Linked DNA regions of Struthio camelus. The protein of the gene in region 1 purifies or fractionates together with the protein of each later gene. This does not show direct contact. Links are inferred from orthologs where the notes say so. Each region holds a gene or a part of one and is shown on either strand. Other genes may lie near its edges. The genes, in order: VCAM1 and MSN.

Region 1 (3,904 bases):
AGACTGAGATCTGAAGTTAAGATAATTATTCTTTCGTAATTACTTTAAATTAAATTCTTTTCTATGTAATGCTATTTTAAAGTCACCTGAGTATATTAAAACAGTCAAAAATTTACAGTCAGATGTAATTGTATCAAACTTTCCAAAAGATTTCCAGCTGGTCTCTGGAATTAATGCATAGCATAAGGATAGCTGACTGAAGTTTTATACACAATAGCAATTTTATACATGTTTGCATTTAAAATATTTTCTATATAAAATACAGGCATTTAAGATTTAACTTGCATGCTCTTCTGCAAGGGACCAAATCCAGAAGTTCCAGTTATCTGTTGTTCAGACATTGAGTTTGAAACAGGTTATTGCTTTAATTCCTGACTAACATGTTTCATAGCTAAAAATAAGTTACTTAGTCTAATCATTTTAAGTGTTTGTTCTTTTGCTTATGGGCCCAAGTACTGTGGTTGCCAAACGTCTTCAGTTCCTTTAGACACATGAGAAGTGGTAATGCTCATCCTTTGGTGGGTTCCGGCCCAAAAATTACTTCATAGTAGAATGAGATCTTAACCCTGGGTGTCCCCAAGTTTAGCTTTATTTTGGCAGTAATTCTGAATGTTTTCCAGAACTGGAATGGGGTGGCTGGAAGAGCTCTTCCTCTTCTGCATTTGCACCACAAAGCTAACAAAAGCACAGTCACTGATTAGGAGGTGCAATTAGAACGACGATCCTCCACTCTCCAAGATACGTGCACAGTGTTAATAAAATAAATCTTGCAAGTCTTCTATGTTCATGTTACCTTGCTAGGCCTCCTAATCTTTCTGATATTGCCACTCAGGTGGTACACCTGATTGTAAAAGCTCCATGAACTTCAGACTCTAGGAAACTTCTCTTACTTTTCCCCAGGTCCTTGAAAGTGAATAAAAAGCTGTTTTCACTTGTTGTTTCTCCGTGCCAAAACGTGTTTTCTTGTTTTCATTTTGAAGCCTCAGCTTCTTGCCTTGGTTTAATCCTGACTTGAAGCAGCATTTTTTCTGTGATGACGGCGACTTGTTATTTAGAAAAATAAAACAGTGGTATGGGGATTTCAAATACATCACAGCTGCGCAACAGGCTTTAGGCCAAGGAAAAAAAAATGAAAAAGGAAAAGAGGAAATCTTCCTTTCCTCTTAAAGCAGTTTCTGCTGAAACTTTACCCACTTCAGGTAAGGTAAGCAAAGCATAGAACATTTTAAAATACAGCCCTATGACTATAAGGTTTACTCCTTGTGGAGGATGATACGTCTGTTCCTTCCTTGTTATTGTCTTACCACTCAAATATCATCAGGAGAGCTGCTAACTTTTAATAATTCTGGTCACCCAACGCAACAAATTCCTATGCTCCCACATCCCTATTCTCCTTCTCAAGCAGACGTGATTTAGATGTTACTGCTCTGATCGCCTTAATGAGCAGTGCCCGTGAATTTAGGGTGGGATTAGCGTCTTCCAGTCTTCTGTAACAAAAGGCAAAGAGTGCTAAGTACCACCACCACCACCACCACCACCACGGAAACAGCATCAGCTGTGTCACAAAAGAGGAAGCAAGCAGCCAAGTGATGAAGAAAAAACCAAAGAATTTCAGGTCCATTCCTGAAAGAAATCTTGAGGCTGCAGTACTCACCACGGAGCAGCTCCACTTCCCTCACCGCTCTGAGTGGGAGGAGTTGATGCCTTTCCAAATGCTACAGAGAATCTGTCGTTTTATATTTAGCAGAGGCTGTGAAATCCCACTTTAACAATAATGCATTTAATGGAAACACCATAAACTGGTAATTGAATAGATAAGGTTAGATAGAGAACTCTAGTCTCCATATTGCATTATTTTTCACTTAGTTCATTGCCATAGACAGAGGCCTTTGTCAAAGTGTGTTTCATTTAGAGAGTTTTCCAAAAAAAAAAAAAACTACTAAAAGGGTAGGTTTTTTGTTTGTTTGTAACAGTTTCCACAGGTGGCATCACGCAGAAGTTTGCCAGGGGAAAGCTCAAGGAGGGTCTCGCATGGGGTGCAGGGATGATAAAGGAAGGGGGAAAGGAAATAGTTCCTTGGTGGGTTTTGTTTGTTTGGAGAGTTCTTTTTTTTTTTTGGTGGCATGACATTCATCCGTTGTTCACAAGTGAACCTTGTGTTTCAGGGAGCCCATTTTAAAGAGATACTGAAAGAATCACATAGATTACATAAAGACAAACTTGCACTAAGCCTCAAGAGAGATGTTCAGCTGCCTATCTTGTATTGAAATCTTTAAAATGAAAGCAGTTACGTATGCTGCAGTATTTACCAGTTATCCCAGACTTCTCAGTCCAGCCTTGGGGCTCGTCCCCGCCGATGGGCGCTGCTGCGCGGGCGGAGGAGCCGAGAGGCAGCGAGCACCGACGGCCCTCGCCTTCCCCGGCGCCCGGAAAGGCAGCCGCGGCAAGAAGTTTATCGCGGCAGAGACACTGGAGGGAAGGGAGGACTGCGGGATTTCAGTCGGGAGGGGAACCGGGCGTGGCGGGAGAAGCCTCGGCTCTCCGACGGCGGGCACCGCCGCGGCCAGGCAGCGCCCGCCATTTCGCGCCGCCTCAGGCGGGAGCGGGCCCGAGGCGGGGGCGGGGCCGGGCGCGGCCTCCCGCCCGGCCTCGGCCCGCGAGCGCCGCCACCCGGGCGCCTCCGCAGCCACCACGTCTGGGCGGGGCGGGGCGGCGGGGACCCGCGCGGGGCGCCCTTCAGCGGGGTGCGGCGCTGGCCGCCGTCCCCCGCCGCCGCGGCAGCTGCGGGCAGGGCGGCGCGTTGGCGTTGGCGGCGGCGGGGCGCGGGGCGGCGGCGGCCTCGGCGCGGGGCAGCACGGAGCGCGCCGCCCGGCGGAACTCCTCGCTGCGCCACGTGTAGAGCAGCGGGTTGAGGGCCGAGAGGGAGCAGAGCAGCAGCCAGCTGGCGGCCTGCAGCGCCGGCGGCGCGGGCGGCAGGAAGAAGCCCAGCAGGCTCACCCACACCAGGGGCTGCGTGCCCAGCAGGAAGACGCAGCAGAGCAGCAGGACGGAGACGGTGCTGAGGCGGCGCTGGGCGCGGCGGGGCGGCGGCGGGGCAGCAGGGAAGGGCAGCTGGTGCAGCAGGTGGAAGTTGAGGACGCTGACCCGCTTGGCGCTGCCCCGCACCCGCCGCACGATGCCGAGGTAGCAGTGGAGCAGCAGCGCCGTCTGGCTGAGCACGGCCAGGGCCAGCAGCAGGGCGGTGTAGCGGGGGCCGCCGTCCGCCTGCCGGCCCGGAGGCGGCTGCTGGGCAGCGGCCGGGGCCCAGAGGCCGGGCAGCAGCGGGAGCAGGAGCAGCGCGAGCACCCAGGAGAGCCCGATCATGCAGCCCGTGTGCCTCCGCTGGTAGAGGGCCTGGTAGACGCTGGGCAGCTTGGTGATGAGCACGTACCTGTTGAAGGCCACCAGCAGGTGAGAGGCTAGGGAGACGGTGAGGCCAAGGCCGAGGAGCCCCCCTCGGAGCAGCCGGTACTCCACCGAGCGAAGGGAAGAGGAGTTGGGAGGCAGCAGCCCCAGCACGGCCTCCTGGGGCATCCACAGGGCACAGATGCTCAGGTCGGCGGCGCAGCCGTTCACGATGAAGGCGTTGCTGGTCGTCTGCAGCTTCTTGAAGGAGAAGACCAAGTAGATGACCACCACATTGGATAAGGTCCCTGAGATAGCTAATGCCGCATAGAGCAGCGACAGGAAGATGCGGGTCCCGGAGGAGTCCTCCCAGAGCAGCAGCAGTGGCGAGCTAGCGCTCCAGGAAGAGGCGTTGGGCATCTCGCTGAATGCGGCTCAGTTTTGACTTCTCCCCATAAATCCCATCCTCACCTGGGTCAGAAGATCCTGCTGCAGAAGTGCCCCACCAAACACAAGGGAG
Region 2 (3,904 bases), on another chromosome or scaffold:
ATTTAATACTAATCCCAGCAGAATCCTCTAATCAAATTAAAGAAAACAGTTTACTCAGCAGGAATCTGTGCTGAACTGCCTAGTAGATCTTGGCTTGCCCCTTTTCCATTTTATAGCTGGATTTATGTGTTTTCATGTTAACATAACCTTCATTTATTCACATTCAAGGAAGAAGTGGGTTATGAAGTCCAGCTAGTCTTGCATGGTCTTTCCATGAAGCAAGATGTCTTAAAGATCTGAAAATGTTTAGCAGATTTGGAAAAAAATGAAGTTCAAGAAAGATAAAAAAAAAGATAAGTTACTGCTTTCCTTAAAAACAGATACAGGTTGAATTTATTGAGATTTCATTTCCTTCTACTGCACACAATTTGTTAACTTTAAAAAGAATGGCATTTCTTCCTGGGAGAAAATAGGAATAGGGTCACTGTTTTAAAGTATGTTCAAAGTAGCAAATGAGATGAAATGCCTTTTTAAAGTCCCTGTGACCTTCATTCCCTACCAGAGGTTCCAAAACACAGATGGCACGAGAAGGTTTGGTGAGTGGTCTGCAGCTGGTCCTCAGAGCTTCTTAATCCATGAATTTGATTGCTCATTTATACCATGTAATTATGTTGGGAGCCTCTGAGAAGGTCTGAAGATTAAGGGTGGTTTGCCTGCCAAGTTTCAGGGAGCCAAAGCCCTTCTGTGTCTGCGATGCTTTTCAAACCCCTGAAACAGGATGCTAGGTTCTTTCTAGCCGAACAGGCACTGCAAACAGCGGGTAAATAAAAGCATGATCATCCAAGACCCCGTGTTCAGGAGATTATTGACTTACTTCACTGCTGAGCTGCACCCCAAGCGTGCATGATTCAGACTAAATGAAAGACAAAAAGATCTATCGCATGCCAGTGCTGTGGTCTTGTTTTTATGACTATGAAAATGTAATTTGAAAAGTGTAATAGTCTGTAAAACAACGTTATTTTTAAAAGAGTACTGTCAGCAAAGACCAAAAGTCTCGGTGACACCTGGGATGTAAGTAAACTTCAGAGTTCACGGCTTTCTCCTGTTTTTCGGGGAGCTAATTTTAGAAGCTGGGGAAGCCTGGCTACGAGGTGCCGCGAGGCAGCAACGGGGCAGCGGGCTCGGCCGCGCCCTGGGAGCGGGGCCGGGGAGAGGGCCGGGGGAGCGGGGCCGGGGGGGAGGGACGGGGGAGCGGGGCCGGGGAGAGGGACGGGGGGGAGGGCCGGGGAGAGGGCCGGGGGAGCGGGGCCGGGGGAGGGATGGGGGAGCGGGCCGGGGGAGCGGGGCCGGGGGGGAGGGCCGGGGAGAGGGCCGGGGGAGCGGGGCTGGGGAGAGGGCCGGGGGAGAGGGCCGGGGGGATGGACGGGGGGAGCGGGGCCGGGGGGAGGGCCGGGGGGAGGGCCGGGCCGAGCCGGGCGGGGCCGGGGGCTGCGCGGCTCCAGCGCGGGCGAAGGCGGCCGCCGCCCGGGGCGGGGTTTGGGGCGCGGGCGGAGCGGCGGGGCAGTCCGGTCCCGTCCCGTCCCGTCCCGTTAGACGGCAGCTCGCAGCGAGCCCCAGCGGCGTAGGAGGAGAGACCTGCCGTGCCCGCCGCGCCCAGCCCGCCGGGAAGATGCCGAAAACGGTGTGTGCGCCGAGCCCGGCCGCCGGCCCCGCCGCGGGGAGGCGGCTGCTGGCGGCGCCCGGGCCGGGGGGGCCCGGGGTGGCGGCGCCCGGGCCGGGGGGCTCGGGCGGGCCGTGCTGCGGCCGGAGGGGCCCGGGGTGGCGGCGCCGCGGCCGGGGAGGCTCGGGCGGGCGGGGGAGGCAGCGCCCCAGCTCCCCCCGCGCCGCCCCGCGGGCAGCACTTCCCGCCGGGGGGGCTCGGGAGGCGCCGGCGGGGCGCGGGGGGCCGGGAGAGGCGGCGGCGGGGGGGGGGGCTGCTCGGGCGAGCGGAGCGCGGGTCGGGCGGCGGCGGAGATGCGGCGGGCGGGGCGGGGCGCGGGGGCGAGCGGAGCGGAGCGGAGCGGCCTCCCTCCATCTTGTGCTGCCTTCTCGGCCGCTTCCTGGCGCGCCGCGATCCCCGGCGCCCGGCACAGCCCGGGGGGGGGGGGGGGCTCCCGTCGGGCGGGCGGGCGGCCGGGCCGGGCTGCGGCCCCGCTGCCCCCCGGGGGGGCTCCCGTCGGTCGGGCGGCCGGGCCGGGCCGGGCCGCGGCCCCGCTGCCCCCCGGGGGGGCTCCCGTCGGGCGGTCGGGCCGGGCCGGGCCGCGGCCCCGCTGCCCCCCGGGGGGGCTCCCGTCGGGCGGGCGGTCGGGCCGGGCCGGGCCGCGGCCCCGCTGCCCCCCGGGGGGGCTCCCGTCGGGCGGGCGGGCCGGGCCGGGCCGCGGCCCCGCTGCCCCCCGGGGGGGCTCCCGTCGGGCGGGCGGGCCGGGCCGGGCGGGTCCCTCTGCGGGTCCCTCTGCGCCGGGTCCCTCTGCGGCTGCCCGCCCTGCCCGGGGGGTGCTGACTAACGGTGCAGTTGTGCAACTCCCCTCCCGAAACTGCTTGTTCTCTCTAAAACGTCTTCTCTCTGCTTTATAAAGAGGTACTTTCTTCCCCCTGTCCCTGCATCACCAGTACCACCTTCTATCCTGCTTGCTTGTGTGCTCCTTGATGAGCTCTGATCTTAAGGAGGGGTTTTTAAAAGCATATTGGATAAAGCTTTCTAGGGCACAGTGGGAATTAATTAATTATATGGCTGCCTCTCGTGAGGTCTGTAAAGAACACAAGTTTGGGGTTTTCACAACTCATAATTAGTCTGTTTGAGTTGCTAGGGAGCCTTGTCCCAGCTTGACTCAAAGTATTTCTTGGCTGCAGAGATGTTGGTACTTCAGAAAGTCTTGTCAAGTCTGTACTTGACTCTCCCTTTTCTAGCAGGACTTTAGTGACTAATAGGGAGCATGGGTTTTTCCATTTTAATCTCTCCTGGTTGGAATCAAAAGAATTGGTCCTTGCCCTTCATTGGTAAAACAGGAAGGAGCAGGCTGGAAGGCTCTGGACATTTCCTCGCTAAGAATGGTCCAAAATGGCTTAAGAACATCTAACATGTAAACTATGAGTCTATAGTTTACATTTAACAGAAAATAATAATAATAAAAAGCCCTACAACTGGAAGCTGAAACAGAATCCACCCTGTTTTTTTTTTTTAACAAATAGTTTAATTTTATCACTTTACAATAGATAGTAAGTGCCTGCTTAACTGATTTCTGCTTGTCCTGCTGTCTTATATGCCAGCACTCTGAGACAATAGCTGGGTTCATGTGCATTCGTGTATGTGTGTGTATTTTAAAACATCGACATCCTAAAGGATATCAACCTCAAGTTACTCTTAAAGGTTAAGAAGACAATATTTTCTAAAGCTTTAAAAAAGGTAGTCTCTTCAGACATCACTAATGATTAGTGAACAGTTACCTCTTCCTAAAAAAGGCAAAAGTTCAGTAAAAAGAGTGGAAGTGGCTCAGATGAGGGGACTTCTGTGTAAACTGCTACTGAGACTTTTTAGTCAGTGAAGAGTACAGCTGTGATGAGTGACTTCTTTTAGTGTGAATCAACCAGAAAATGTTGACATATTGCAGAGAGCCATGGTGGGCAGGGTTCCCCTACTAACAGGCTGAGTCCAAGCGTTTTGACACTGTGTTACAAGGTACTCACTGTAGCCTCTGAATCTGGAGGCAACACCCTAGGCTGGATGCCTGTGTTCAGTCTACGGCTTTCTTGTTCTTACAGAGTAGTTCTGCTTTCAGTACTGGGGCAGATAAAGAAGTTGGAGTGCTTTACGCTAACACTATATATCATATGCTCTGGACCCTGCAGAAAGCTATTCAGATGTGTGTGTCTACTGGAGTACAGAGCTGCAGGCCTCCTGTTATAAAAACCAGTAGTCTTCAGTTTC

Evidence for each region.
Region 2: the proteins of VCAM1 (region 1) and MSN purify together in Homo sapiens (affinity purification with western blotting; 3 studies listed by BioGRID, with this or other methods). This does not show direct contact. The link is inferred for Struthio camelus from reciprocal best matches to the Homo sapiens genes VCAM1 and MSN.

The regions. Positions count from the first base shown.
Region 1 is NC_090949.1:16,041,830-16,045,733, reverse strand, and holds the start of VCAM1 (vascular cell adhesion protein 1), read right to left. Parts: upstream 2,605-3,904; 5' UTR 2,310-2,604; intron 1-2,309. Other genes in the region: GPR88 (G protein-coupled receptor 88), read right to left, coding at 2,737-3,804. UniProt on the Homo sapiens protein: Cell adhesion glycoprotein predominantly expressed on the surface of endothelial cells that plays an important role in immune surveillance and inflammation.
Region 2 is NC_090952.1:29,427,623-29,431,526, reverse strand, and holds the start of MSN (moesin), read left to right. Parts: upstream 1-1,429; 5' UTR 1,430-1,609; coding exon 1,610-1,621; intron 1,622-3,904. UniProt on the Homo sapiens protein: Ezrin-radixin-moesin (ERM) family protein that connects the actin cytoskeleton to the plasma membrane and thereby regulates the structure and function of specific domains of the cell cortex.